Medicago truncatula: one gene and its partner. The protein of the gene in region 1 binds, or shares a complex with, the protein of each later gene. Links are inferred from orthologs where the notes say so. Each region holds a gene or a part of one and is shown in the gene's direction. Other genes may lie near its edges.

What was found.
Region 2: eukaryotic translation initiation factor 3 subunit A (region 1) and eukaryotic translation initiation factor 3 subunit K share a complex: the UniProt entries of both Arabidopsis thaliana proteins name them as parts of the eukaryotic translation initiation factor 3 (eIF-3) complex. The link is inferred for Medicago truncatula from reciprocal best matches to the Arabidopsis thaliana genes EIF3A and EIF3K.

What each region holds. Positions count from the first base shown.
Region 1 is NC_053048.1:47,003,257-47,011,064, reverse strand, and holds the start of eukaryotic translation initiation factor 3 subunit A, read left to right. Parts: upstream 1-4,806; 5' UTR 4,807-4,968; intron 4,969-5,747; 5' UTR 5,748-5,774; coding exon 5,775-5,820; intron 5,821-5,931; coding exon 5,932-6,413; intron 6,414-6,596; coding exon 6,597-6,812; intron 6,813-6,897; coding exon 6,898-7,266; intron 7,267-7,363; coding exon 7,364-7,393; intron 7,394-7,808. Other genes in the region: organelle RRM domain-containing protein 2, mitochondrial, read right to left, coding at 743-863. UniProt on the Arabidopsis thaliana protein: RNA-binding component of the eukaryotic translation initiation factor 3 (eIF-3) complex, which is involved in protein synthesis of a specialized repertoire of mRNAs and, together with other initiation factors, stimulates binding of mRNA and methionyl-tRNAi to the 40S ribosome.
Region 2 is NC_053045.1:59,750,883-59,758,337, reverse strand, and holds eukaryotic translation initiation factor 3 subunit K, read left to right. Parts: upstream 1-4,451; 5' UTR 4,452-4,544; coding exon 4,545-4,676; intron 4,677-4,773; coding exon 4,774-4,830; intron 4,831-4,935; coding exon 4,936-4,986; intron 4,987-5,343; coding exon 5,344-5,406; intron 5,407-5,908; coding exon 5,909-5,959; intron 5,960-6,031; coding exon 6,032-6,098; intron 6,099-6,457; coding exon 6,458-6,540; intron 6,541-7,028; coding exon 7,029-7,232; 3' UTR 7,233-7,409; downstream 7,410-7,455. Other genes in the region: kinesin-like protein KIN-7B, read left to right, coding at 456-539, 911-1,000, 1,069-1,971, 2,289-2,593, 2,712-3,036. UniProt on the Arabidopsis thaliana protein: Component of the eukaryotic translation initiation factor 3 (eIF-3) complex, which is involved in protein synthesis of a specialized repertoire of mRNAs and, together with other initiation factors, stimulates binding of mRNA and methionyl-tRNAi to the 40S ribosome.

The sequences.
Region 1 (7,808 bases):
CATAGACCATATGTTGGTCCAACTAACTAATCTCTGAGTCTTTCTTAATAGTTTCTCTTAGTCTTATAGTTTTTATGGGTCTTCCTCTGCCTCCAGGGATCTAACAATCCTCCATTTGATCTACTCTCCTTCACACAAAATCTACGTGTCTTATCTCTACATGCCCAAACCACCTAAGCCTATTTTCCACCATCTTTTCTACTATAAGTGCTACCCCAATTCTCTCACATCTGATTTTACCACACATCCCCCTAACATTCTCATCTCATGTACGCTGATTTTATTCTTGCGTTGGTTCTTCAAGAAACATCTAATAAAAGATATAGTGCCGAATGCCAAAGAGAGTCAGTGACACCATGAAATCAATCAATACACAAGAAGTTCGAGTTTCCCTTGAAGATGTAAAACACGCAGCCATAACTGTTTTGCTTCCTTAATAAAGGAAAACATTTCATGTTTCAAGGGTACAAGCACAGCCGTAATACAATTTATTAATTTTTTAAAAAAGTCCACTTCAAATGTAACTAGTTTCAGGGCAAGGCTGACAGAAATGCAGTTTTAATGACCCTTTTGTAAAGTGAAAAAACCATAAACTAGTGTTAATTGAAAAGGTCTTTAAATTAAGAATCTAATCTAAACTGGAACTTAGGTGTAACACAAGTGCATCATAACAATATTAATCTAATTTAATGCATAAAATTGAAATATGGTAGAGAAATGTTAAGAGGGGTGGGGTAATTACCGCTAATGAAGAGTTTGGGGGAAGTGAGAGTTGAATTGAGACGAATGGAAGTGAAATGGGAGCTAACAAGTGGGGATTGAGAGTGACGAAGCAAGCGGTGAAATCCAAAGAAAAATGCCATCTTATCTTGTTACCTGAAGCACGGAATCAGACAGAATCACCCACCGACGAGAAACTAACCTAGTTTGAGGTTTCACGGTGATGACGAGGATGTCGAGATACCTTAAAAATGTTTGTAGGACGTACCCTAACTTAGGGGTGTAACACCTGCCGAATGTTCTAGTTGACCTAATAGTATTGCTCCTCATAAGTAGGGCGAGGTTGAGATGTAGTGTAGGGTAGGAAAAGCCAAGATTTTATAAACCAACATTCACAAAATTATTTATATTTAACTTGTTGAGATGATTTTTGTAAAAGTTTTTTTTTTAGTAAAAGAGAGTCAAAACTCAAAAGATAGAGAAATGCACTGTTTCAACAATATTTTTAAGCATGCAAACCCTAAAAATATCATTAAAAAATGGGTTGAAATCTTATTAGGAATAGTATTCATAACAATAATTTGAAAAGAGTTTAGAAAAAAGTTAAAGTTAGCAAGTCAATCGACACTTTTATTTCCCTCCCTCTAGGTATAATTTAATTGAAATACACTTGTTGATCCAACTCTAAAGCTTTCGAGTGTATCACACCAAAATAGGCGGTTTGTCGTTAATTTTGACATTCTCCATGATCACGTCAACCATAGTTTTTGAGTCGTTTTCAATTTAAAGACAACGGAAACCACGTCTCCAAGCAAGCTACATACCCAAGTACATCCCCACATCTTGGCGCTAAGAGTATCCCAGGTTCCAATTTTACGTGAGTACACGATTAGCCATCTCTCGTAAAAGTGTCGTGTAAGACCACCACACCGAATAATCATTTGAGTGTCCTCATAGGCTCCGTCGCAATTAAGCTTGGCCCACCATTCCCGGGGCCTTTCCCAACCAATAAAAATGGCGTCTTCGAGGCAAATATTCATAGGGTAGTGGTTACAATTGTTTATGTCCTCGACCATCTCAAGGACAATGGAGATTGCATTGAATGGTCGTTGAAAATCATCTTCAAAGATAACTTTGCTCCTCCATATACATATGTGCCAGCAATCCACCCAAAAAAGTAGTTGTCCACTTCTTACTATGAGTTTCATGCAAGTGGTTGTTGATATTCTTGAAAATCAAGTACTTACAATTAAAAAAAGAAGAAGAAAAAACTAGTAATGTTATTAGAAGGGACTAACTAGATCATGAAGAGTGGTTCAGGGTATTCCCTTAAAACATGAAAAGTGGTTTTGTTATCTTTATCAAATCTGTAACGCATGGATGACATTCCAACACCATCTAAAATCCATTGAATTCGAGACTTATGAAACCATCAATATTATTGAAGCTACTGATTATTATATAATTTATTTCTTATTTTTTACAAAAAAAAAAAAAATGTCCAAAAAGTCTTAGTGCCGAAGAGTCACAGTTTCAAAATCACGAGACTATCGAAAAATTATAAAGATAAGAAGGTAAAATAGTTTTAAAATCTATCCACTTCCATTTTGAACCAAACATAAATGTAATTAAAATCCTCCCAGGTCATCATCTCTTGAACTAAGCAAACATTAAATGTTGAACCAAGCATAATGAGTATTTTAATCCCCTACCAACCCCTCCATTAAAATTTATCTCCTCCCAACCCCTCTTCTGAATGGATTTGGATTCTCTCTATTGAAATTTTTCTCAAGTGAAATCTTAACCATTAAATATGAGAGAGAAAATGAGAGTTAAATTGTATAAAAAAAAGTGGTTAATGGCTTTTAATGATGGAGATTAAAAATGGAGAAAATCTGAGAAAAATTTCAATGGAGAGAATCCAAATCCCTCACGAACCAAGCAAACATTAAATGTTGAAGTAGATCATGAGTCATTCCACTATCCAATGGTACATATCAAAGTTCAAGTACCGAGTGTTTTTTTTTAGATAATAAAAGTTTGGGGTGAGGAAATGTTGTCTTAATCCAAGACAGCGAGGACTTTGGTGCTCGAATAACACTTAAAAAAATATTTATGCTTATCCTCAAGGATTGGATAGTTCAATTAGTTTGAGCTAATGGTTAAATGAGTCAGAGACTATGAATTCAAATCCAAATAAAATAGTAAATATTCATTAACAATTAACATTACCATTAAAAGAAGCATGAAAATTGTTGTGTACACATCTAATAGGGCTGAAACACACCAGTAAAATACCAAAATACCTCTCGGCAGTTAACTGTCGAGGAATTCAGAAACCGACTGCAGTTAACTGCCGCGGAAACTTCAAACCTTAATTTTTTTTTTGACAAACCTTTTTTTTTGGTATTTTAAGTTGCCTACAAATACAAAGAATATCTTACAATTATAAATTAAATTAATCGAAAATTGATATGATCTAAGCCACATTTAACTGAATTTGACGATAGTGAGTTTTAAATAGTCATCTAAATCAAACCACGTATAATTTGAATCTTAATATCCGATAGTAAAAAATAAAAAAAAACTCTTGAAAAATCCAAATATAAGAAATGCTCGAGAAAAATTGCTAAGAGTCAAGATAGAATAAACAATGTTTACAAAGTCTGCAGCAATATAGAGACATTCACACACCAATGCCTCAAACTGATACTACAAACACCACCTGCACAAAAACAAATAAATAGAGAACCAAACGACTCTTGAATGCAAGTGTAATAAGAATCGAATCAAATATGCCTCCTTAGCTCCTTAAACCACACACACCAGCTGGCAGTTACCCAATCCGATTCTTCAAACAAGCACACTACCACCTAAGGATTTTGTATAATATTGGTCCTATATTAACTTGACATTTTTAAAAAATTCTATATATAATTTCACATGAATGCACATTTCCAATTTCTCACATGTGAATGATTCCACAAGAGTAAGAGAAGTTAGTTCATTCCAATAAACTTTGATTTATATCCAAAAATATTTTTCTCAACCTTACAATAAATATGAACATAATAATTCCCTATTAATACATTTTCAAGAATGTTTTATTAAACTTGAAACAAACATCCACGAGAGAAATCACTTGCCATGTGATAACCTCCAATTTTCGGAAGTTGGAGAAAATAATCTAACAACACTAGAGTGCATTAGTTAGAGGATAGAAAATGTGGACGAAGCTACATATATTTGTTTTGGGGCAGTCGCCACCCCCAAATACAAGAAATTTATGACAAATATATACCGAAACTCATACTCGTCCCCCTAAAGAAATAAGAATGTTACTCCTGTGAAACAGGATTAGTTGAACTACAATTACATGCATCACTCTAGTACTTTTCAATACACTCTAATTTCAATTCCTTTCCACGTCACTTGGTACATATATATACAAGTATTCTATCCAGTGCCTCACATTTAGTCATCTTCTTATAATGATATTAATTTTTGTGTATTGCTTAATAGAAAGAAAAAAAATTCATTACATTCGCCTCTTTTGAAATTAGTAGTATTCTTTTTGTTTGAGAGGGTAAAATAAGGCATCTTATTCATGTTAGCAAAAGAAAAAAATACATTATTTAAGTTAAAAAATATACGATCAGACTTTATGTGATTTATTATCATGTTACGTTCTCATAACTCCCAAAGCTTTTTTTCTTCAGAAATCAGAAATTTAAAACAAAAGTGATTAATTGATTTCAAACCAAGCAAATGACTCGACATTACATGAATTATTTTCGCCCCCTCTAGCAAAAATTTCTGGCTCCATCCTGAATGTGAATATTTCGGTTTTGATATTAATATTTTTTCAGTTTCTACATCATTAATGAGTAAAAAAAAATCTACGTCTTAATGATGAGTCAAAACCAAAGTAATATTTGTTTCTTTTTTACGATAAACTTCAATATTTGTTATTTCATACTATTTATTTTCCTGGGTTAAAAAATACATAACATTTTGAAGAGGCCAAACCCGACCCAATTCAATTTTCTTAGGCCCATAATAAGCTTTTACCATTAAAACCCTAACGCAACAAAACCGATAAGCAGCCGCTGAGCTTTTGCGCACTTGCATCCAGTTTGAGAAGAAGAAGAAGAAGACGCACTCAACTCTCAATTTCTTCGTAACAAAGCAAAAGCTGGACGGAAACGAAACCACTGTTTTTCATCGACAACGACAAACCGTTACGAAGTACGTTCAGATTTTCCTTTTTTTTTTTTCTTTCGATTTTCTTTCCACTCTCGACGATGCGATTCCGGCGCGTTTCCCGGCCGTTATGAACGACGGTGCGCGGGAAATTCCTTTTGAGAAGAGATCCACTCCGCAACGCAATTCTGAGATTGTGCGATTTGCGATATAAACTGATTCAATTATCGTTATTTTTGTATTCCAATAATACCAGTTTTATTGTTAATGGTTAATTTGAATCAGCTAATTAGATGTAGATGATTCACTTGATTTTCAGTTTATGATTATCATCGGTTTAGTGTGATTCTAATTTACAATTCCGCGAGATTTGACTATTGTAGAGAATTTTGATATGAAATTGTGTTTAACTGTTATTATTGTTTTTTTTTTTTTTATTTTGATTATCGCTATTTTCAGTTAATCTGCTCAGCTAATTATATTACACGAAGATGATGGCTTAGCATGATTCTTATTATGAATATCATCACCTTATCGTGATTGTAATTTACAATCTTTTGGCGTTTTTTCCTAGAGAATTTTCATATGAATATCTGTTTGATTGTTATTTTCGCTTAAATTTCTGCTACATTTAGTGGCAATTTCACTTGATGTCTTAGTTTATGAATGACATTGGTTTAACGTGATTCAAATCTATAATCTTGCGAGATTTACAATTTTTCTAGATAATTCTGATGTGAATTTGTGTTTTACAGTTGTTTTTGGATTACATTTTGTTTCATTATTATTTTTTAATTTTCATTATCACTCTCTCTTATTTACAGGGAGTTGAATTTTTGTGAATTTGCAATATGACGTCATTTTTGAAGCCTGAGAATGCTCTCAAAAGGGCAGAAGGTTTGTTCAGAAGATGACTATTTAGTTTCTATTTTTCTATTCTTCGTGTTCTTAGCTTGTCATTTGTTTTAGAGAATTATGCAATTGAATCACTTAAAATTTGATTTACAGAGTTGATCAATGTCGGGCAGAAGCAGGATGCTCTTCAGACTCTGCACGACCTGATCACTTCGAAAAGATATCGCGCATGGCAGAAAACACTGGAGAGAATTATGTTTAAGTATGTCGAGCTTTGTGTTGACATGAGGAAAGGCCGATTTGCTAAGGATGGCCTCATTCAGTATCGTATAATATGTCAGCAAGTGAATGTTAGCTCACTGGAGGAGGTGATCAAGCACTTCATGCATCTGTCAACAGAGAAAGCTGAACAAGCACGTAGTCAGGCTCAGGCTTTGGAAGAAGCCCTTGATGTGGATGACCTGGAGGCTGATAAAAGGCCAGAGGATTTGATGCTGAGCTATGTTAGTGGCGAGAAAGGAAAGGATAGATCTGATCGGGAGCTTGTTACGCCATGGTTTAAATTTCTATGGGAAACTTACAGGACAGTGCTTGAAATATTGCGGAACAACTCCAAATTGGAAGCCTTATATGCTGTAAGTATTCCTGATAAATAGAAATTAATTGCTTGTCATTAGGGCTATATGTTGTTGTTGCCCATTAACTTATTCTTCTTTTTTATTTCATATCATTCTACGTTTTATAGTTAAAAAACAATAATATGCAAGGCAGATTTACTTTTATGTCAAACTTATAGTCGATTCTATTGCCATATGCAGATGACAGCCCATCGAGCTTTCCAGTTTTGTAAGCAGTATAAGCGAACAACAGAATTTCGCAGACTCTGTGAAATTATCAGAAATCATTTGGCTAATCTTAACAAATATCGGGACCAACGAGACCGGCCTGACCTTTCTGCTCCTGAAAGCTTGCAATTGTATCTTGATACAAGATTTGAGCAGCTGAAAATTGCCACTGAACTTGAACTCTGGCAGGTTGGCAGCTTCTCATTTTTCCTTAAATCTTCACAAGGTGTTTATTTCATTGATGTTGGCAGACCTGATTTTTTGTTGCATGCAGGAAGCCTTCAGATCTGTTGAAGATATTCATGGATTAATGTGCATGGTCAAGAAAACACCTAAACCATCCTTGATGACTGTTTACTATGTCAAGTTGACAGAAATATTTTGGAAATCTTCAAGTCATTTATATCATGCTTATGCATGGTTTAAGCTCTTTTTGTTACAGAAAAGCTTCAACAAAAATCTTGGTCAAAAGGATTTGCAATTAATAGCTTCATCTGTTGTTCTAGCTGCACTCTCGGTGCCTCCTCATGATCGCACTCATGGTGCATCTCATTTAGAACTAGAGCATGAAAAAGAGCGAAATTTGAGGATGGCTAATCTCATAGGCTTTAATCTTGAAACTAAGCCTGATAGCAGAGAAGTGGTATTTAACTTTCCCTCATTTGCACTCCCAGTAGTGTATAGATATATGATTTGCTATTCTTACCATTTGTTTTTGTTTCTGTTTTGTCTTTCCCCAGCTCTCAAGGTCGTCACTTCTTGCTGAACTGGTAAGATATTCTCATTATTTGAAACAAAAAATTCTAAAGAAATTCCTATATAAATTTTTAATTTTGTTATCTTGATGTATATTGTTAAGGAATGGGCTTTCAACAAGTAGTTGAGTAACTGCACTCGTTATTTTTGTCCTTCAAATTTTTGGTGTTGGTCATATCGATTTGAATTTCTTTAATTTTCAACTTATAACAGCTATCGATTTTTGCATTTCATGGGTTGGTTTTGAATCTTTGTTGTGGTAATTATTTTAAACATATCTAAAAATAATTGCTTACATTATTTCCTGAACCTTTGGTGTGGTTGGGCACAAACATTATTTAAACACACACACACACACACACACACACACATATATATATATATATGTCTGTGTGTGTGTTTGTGTACTCTGTAAGGTTCAGGGGTTGG
Region 2 (7,455 bases), on another chromosome or scaffold:
ATGGTATCCAAAAATTAACTAGTGCAAAGGGTATATGTTTTAATAGAATGGTTTGAAATAATTTAAGAGTGATGAATACTAATTTTCATAAACGGCATACTGTCTTTCACTTTCATATTGGTAAACAAAAGTGCTACTTACAGAATTTAGTTTGTGTCACTCAAATGGAAATTCAGAAATATATGTCCTTTTCTGTAATACTCAGTGTAATGTATCTTCTATTTCAAAATACCACTTCACTTTCATATTGGTAAACAAAAGTGCTACTTACAGAATTTAGTCTGTGTCACTCAAATGATTCGGAAATATATGTCCTTTTCTGTAATACTCAGTGTAATGTATCTTCTATTTCAAAATACCACTTCATTTATCAATTGCTTTCGTATTTTTCACAAAAAAGAAAACAATCATATTATAAGAAGTCTGTCTAATTTGTGGGTGGTGCTTTTCAACAGGTTGAAGGAGAGTTAAGAAACCCTGAACCAGAACATGCAGGTCTAAGGTCATTGCTAGCTGAAAAGGAGTTGAAAATTCAGCAGGTACATAGTTCTTTCTTGGTCTTAACTTTCATGTAAAATATATGAGCCTACTGCCTGAAACAAATTTAGTGACCCTTACCAGCTATAGATGGATATTATAATTGTATTTTCCAAAGTTCTTGCATTTTCTCTTAGCTCAAAATATGGTCAATTAATTATAATGAAGCCATATTTTTTAACATTTACGGAAGTCTTGGAATTTGTAGCAATACTGATTATCAAATCCTGTAAAGTAGCTTCAGATCGGCTGCTCTTCTAGTCTAGAAGACTAGCATAAACTGTAAAAGACTTGCTTATTATTTTAAAAATATAAGAAAACTGACTTTTCTTGAGTTTTATGTAATTATTCTCACTTTTCATGGAAATTGCAGATGGAAAAGGATATGGAAGATCTGAGGCGACAGAGAGACCTTGCGCAATGTCAACTTGATCTTGAAAGAAGAGCAAATAAAGTTCAGAAGGTATCTGGAATGATCATGACACATTAGTTTGACCCTTAATTTTATTCTTCTAACTCAAATATATGCAGGGATCAAGTGATTACGGACCCTCTAGTCAAGTTGTCAGATGTCTTTCTTTTGCTGAGGAAAATGAATTGGCTATCGGTAAACATACTCCAGAGAGAACGGAAACAGTAAGCAGGCAGGCAATGCTGAAGAACTTGTTGGCTTCTCCTGATCCATCAATACTTGTCGATGAAATTCAAAAGCTTGAACATCGGCAGTTGCAACTCTGCGAGGATGCAAACCGAGCACTTGAAGTTCTGCATAAGGATTTTGCAACCCATAATCTTGGAAATCAAGAAACGGCTGAAACCATGTCGAAAGTACTGTCTGAAATTAAAGACTTGGTAGCTGCTAGTTCTACTGCAGAAGAAATCGTGAATGCAGACAAGACCAACCTGATGGAAAAGATCAACCAGCTGAAAAATCAAGGGAACACTATTACATCTTTAGAGAGGAAGCTAGAAAGTGTTCAGAAATCTATAGACAAACTGGTATCTGCTTTTGGTACTGAGGAGACTCCAGACAGTAAGACCCAACTTAGAAGGAAGAAAACTCTTCCTTTCAAATTAAACAACAGCCCCAACATGCAACACATAATACGAGCTCCTTGCTCGCCTCTCTCTTATCGTAAAGCAACAGAACATGAAATTGAGAACAGAGTACCCATTATTTCCTCCTCTGGTCGTGATACTTATGCAAGGTTGCATAGAGATACCCCACGAAAGGATGATGAAAGTTGTGATTCTATTTTATCACGGGCAGATAGCCCTGCTTCGCAGCAATCAAAATCAGTGAATGTGAAGAAGATTCAGAAAATGTTCAAGAATGCTGCTGAGGAGAACATTCGGAGCTTCAGGGTTTATATTACCGAGTTAAAAGAGCTAGTGGCTAAGCTGCATTACCAAAAGCAACTTCTGGTTTGCCAGGCAAGATTTGATAGAATCACTATTTATTATATATATTATGGTGCTGCCATGTATATTTTCTTCATCTTAGTTTTGTTTTCCGCATTCAACCATCTTCATTTTGTTTCCCCTGCCAAACTATAGTTATTATTGAATATATATTGAAAAATTTGACATTTTAAAAACCACTTGTATCTGAAAATAACTTGGAATGATGGAGTTACTTTAGCACTATACTTACTGCTGATTTTTTAAGTTTAACTTCATTGTAATTCATTCATGTTAATAATATATATAATATACTGACGTTGATGCTTTTTTCCTTTGCACTGGTATAGGTTTTGGAGCTTGAAGCAAACAAGTCTATAACTGAAGAAATGGATACAATTGATCGATCTCCTTTATCATGGCACATACTATTTGAACAGCAGAGAAAGCAAATTATCATGTTATGGCATTTATGCCACATTTCTCTGGTGCACCGGACACAGTTTTATCTTTTATTAAGGGGAGATCCTTCTGATCAGGTATATATGGAAGTTGAACTTAGAAGATTGACTTGGTTGGAACAACATCTGGCAGAGCTTGGGAATGCTAGTCCTGCTCTTCTAGGTGATGAGCCTGCAGACTCAGTTTCGGCAAGGTATACAAGTGTCTTTGATGATTCTATTAGATGCATATGTTTATAATTAGTGTCTTTCAAAAGGTTTATTTCAGAAAATAGTGTTGAGATTTTACTACTGATTAATCGTCAAATGCAGCATCAAAGCTTTGAAGCAAGAAAGGGAGTATCTTGCCAAGAGGGTGAACTGTAAACTTACAGCCGAGGAGAGGGAACTACTTTATTCAAGATGGGAAGTTCCTCCAGTAGGAAAACAAAGGAGGCTGCAATTTGTAAATAAGTTGTGGATGAACCCTTATGACATGCAGCATATACAAGACAGCGCAGAAATTGTAGCAAAGCTCGTTGATTTTTGTGTATCTAATGAAAATAGCAAGGACATGTTTGCTTTGAACTTTGCTAGCCCTCATAATAGGAAAACATGGGCAGGGTGGAACTTTATATCAAATCTTTTAAAATTGTAAACACGAACTATTGTAAATGTCTTTCAATTATATGATTATAGTTGGAGAATGGAGCTCATTTACAATATGATATTGTAAATGTCTTTAAAATATTATAGCATCTTCAATATAGTTATATTAAATACGCAGCTATTTTTATATTACTGTTATTTTTCTTAGGAGAATGGAGCTCATTTAGATAGTAGATTGTGTTCCTTAAACTTAAGAAATGTCATTTTATAAGGAACACTTGCAGTTTATTTGTTTATTGTTGCAGTTTGAACCTGAGAAAATGAGTTCTCAGATTGTAGCTCGCATATTGGTTAAGGTTTGCTAGCCCTCTTTCAGCTTGCTTTTTTCTTCCTAAGCACTTCTTCTAAGAATAAAAATTTTGTCCTCCCAACTTTCACAAACCAACGATTTTAACCCCAAATTTTCAAAATAGCACTTTTGCCCCTCAATTTCAGTCCCTCTTGCAAATGTGACACATGCCCTTTGATTTTGACCGGCTGAATGCAGTGATGGGTCAAAATTGTCGGTTTGTGTAAATCGGGGGGCCAATATCGCCGATCAGTTAGGGGTCAAAAATGTAATTTACTCAGATAATATAATACACGTGTGGCATCTAAGTCATTAAATTTGATATCTTTGACTTGGTCAAAATCAAAGGGGTTCTTCAAAATGCAATTTCATGTTAAATTTTTTCATGATTTTTTTTTAGACGTGTTTAGGAAAATACGGTTTTTCACATAAAATTAGAATTATCTGACAATAGATAAATTAAGTATAAATTTTAAAAGTGCTAATAATTCAAAAATCAGAAGAATAAAAGCTTCAACCTAAAAATCAAATTTTAAGCTTAATTTTTGCAAAAATATCTATAAAAGATATAGCAAGGGTAAGCAAAGTTAATATTTCCTTATAAAAAAGTTAATATTGTAAAATAACTTGTGATTTTAAGCTTCTTTTTTTTTATACCATTAATTAATAATGGGTAATATTGTAATATAACTTGTGATTTCCTTCTTCAATACAAAATTAATTATTTTTTTAGTCTATTTAAAATCACGTTAAAATAACTTATAATTTTGATATCCAACTCAATGATCGATTAATTCGAGAAATCTAATTCTACTGTCTACTTGCAGGCTTCTTTTAAAGTCATGACAAAACTCAATGTGGACCGATCCATCGTAATTAACACAAATAATCAAACTTAAAAGAACGCACGTTGTTGTTCTATGTCAACAAGAGAGCAAGATAAACGCAAATTTAAACGAGTTATAATTTAAAGGAGGCGAAATATTTATCTACAATATTAAATTAAAACATTATATTTTTTTTAAAATATATATAAACTATAAAGGACGAAAAAACATTTTTGGTTAAAGAAAAAGGAGCAATAATATATTTAACTTTTCCTTGTGAATCGCGTTGAGGTAACTGGTAAGATAGCGAAGTACTAGGGTTTAGCGCATCAACTGAGAGAGAGAGAGAGAGAGAGAGAGAGAGAGAGAGAGAGTTTCGAAATGGGAAGAGAAGCAGCAGCAGCAGCAGAGAAAGGACAGGGAGGAACTGCTTACACTGTCGAACAGCTCGTTGCATTCAATCGTTACAATCCTGATATTCTTCCAGATCTCGAAAACTATGTCAATGATCAGGTAACCTTTCTTTTTTATCATTCATATCACTAAATTAGGGTTTATACAATTCCAATTAACGATTTTCTATCCTTTTTTTTTATTATTATTTCTTCAGGTTTCATCGCAAACTTACAGCCTCGAATCAAATCTCTGCCTTCTTCGCCTCTACCAGGTATCCATTTTCTTATTAATCGTCATTTTCAGATTATTGCTTGATGACAATTATAAAGGTTGATTGCAAGTAATTGTTTGTTTGTTTATTTATTTATTATTGCAGTTTGAATCTGAGAAAATGAGTTCTCAGATTGTAGCTCGCATATTGGTTAAGGTATTCAATTCTATTGTTTTTTTTTTTATTGCTTATTACTTGTGAACGAAAAATCATATGCCTAGGGGCCTATTTGAATTGACTTATTATGAAAACAGCTTATTACAATATCGTTCGTAAGATGTTTTCAGCTTATTTTCATAAATTCTTCAAGATAGCTTATGAAAATAGCTTATAGCTTATATCAAAACAATTTAACTTTATTTTATCTTTTGCTATATAAATAGCTTGAACACAAGTGCTTATCATAATAAGCACTTGTGTTGTAAGCCTCAAATAAGGTGTTTATCTAAACAGAGCCAAGATAGTTGATTGATGTTATCACTTGGTAAAATATTTGGTTTTGTTTTTCAACAGGCTCTCATGGCCATGCCGGCTCCAGATTTCAGCCTGTGTCTCTTTTTGATTCCAGAACGTGTGGTATGGTTCTTACAAAGTATTCTTTTCTTTGTAGTTGTTTTTCTTGTTCTCATGCATCATTTATTGGATATTTGAATGATTCAGTCACTCTTGTTAGATGCCTTTGATTGAGAAGGACCTAACAATCAATTTTAATTTTATGAAATTGACTGTCAATCTTTAGTATTACATAGGATTTCGGGGGGTTGGGTAGCTCAACTGGTTTTAGCCAAGGGTTAAAGAACATGGTTCAAACCTTTGCAAAGGAGAGAAAAATACTAATATAACAACTAACGTGCTGACATTTCCTCTAAAAAAAATTAAATACTGACATTTGTCTATAAAAAAAATTACATAGGGTTTCTATGTGTCTGGTATTCATCTGGGTTTTATAAATTTTCTATTTGATTTTGAGAATTGTGTAACTGTATTACTGATCTATTCATTTCTTTCTTATTAAGCAGTACCCTGTGGCGTCTTGTTTTCTTTTAGTGTAATAATTTTTGTTTCCTATGAATAATAGCAAATGGAGGAGCAGTTCAAGACACTGATTGTTCTGTCTCACTATTTAGAGGTATGCATCAATTAGTTGCCATGACTTAAGCAGTTCTTTGAAATCATAAGTTAATATTCTTATTATCTTCAGACTGGAAGGTTTCGTCAGTTCTGGGATGAAGCATCGAAAAGTCGTCATATAGTTGAAGCTGTGCCAGGTGATTATACATTATATTCATTCATGATTGATACTGATTTAATTTTGCTATATCTTGTTAATTGAGTCGTGACCCTGGGAAGGCTTGTGGTTACAAATATCTTATATATGACAAGCATTTCAAGATAGAGCTTTATCATACGCTCATCACGGATATATTATTGGGAAATAATAGAGCTGTACTGCTACAATATCATATATATGTTGGACATTGATTTTCTTAAATTTATTACTTATAATAGAGCTGCACTGCTACAATGTTTTATATACGTCAGACATTTCAAGATAGAGCTTTAGCTTATAGGTTCAACTTTGTTAATGCTTGCTTTTATGCTAGCTTACTTCAGAAATTTATTGCAGGATTTGAGCAGGCAATCCAAGGCTATGCGATTCATGTTCTATCCTTGACTTACCAAAAGATTCCCAGAACTGTGCTTGCTGAGGTATGCTTTTAGTTTTGTCCATTTAAATATTGGTTCGTTTATTACTGAAAAATAGTTTGTGTGGCTTAGTCTCTGCTAGTTCAAAGTACATTACATTAATTCTCCAAAACCTAGTTTAACTCGGGTTTGATGAATGAACTCATACTGATATAATACAACACTTCTAGATTCACGATTCATTAAGTCTCCAAAACCTAGTTTAACTCAGGTTTGATGAATGAACTCGTACATGATACAATACAACACTTCTAGATTCACAATACAACACTATTGTTCTGTTTATTCCTTTGGGGTTAAATGATTCTTGAAAACTTCGGCGGTTAGTTATTTGAATTCTTCTCACTGTTTGTCAAGTACAAGAGTGTTGGTTTCTGTAGAAATTGTTTTTATTTTGAAGACTTGTACGGATCTAATAGATATCAGTTGATTTCTCATATTACTTTGAAGCATATTAACAAGATCATTTATTTTTTGTTAAACTTGAATAGGCTATCAATGTAGAAGGTTTATCCTTGGACAAATTCCTTGAACACCAAGTAGAAAACTCTGGTTGGGTTATTGAGAAAAGCCAGGGGAAGGGTCAACTCATCGTCCTTCCGAGAAATGAATTTAATGATCCAATTTTGAAGAAAAACACTGCAGATAGTGTACCATTGGAGCACGTTACCCGCATCTTTCCTATTCTTAGCTGATTTAATATGGGGGACTGTATTTTCTTTCCAGAAAATGTGCGAATTTGTGATTAGTTGAAGCGATATTTTGCTGACTCCCATCCCATTGGATGCTTCAGTTTGAGAATTCGTGAACAGCTATTGTAGTTTACTCTTGACTTTTTGCATTAATGTTTGGAATTTAATTTGCTTTACCTATCTCTTAAACCAATTGCTTTACCATGCCTTATTATTGGGGTAATGC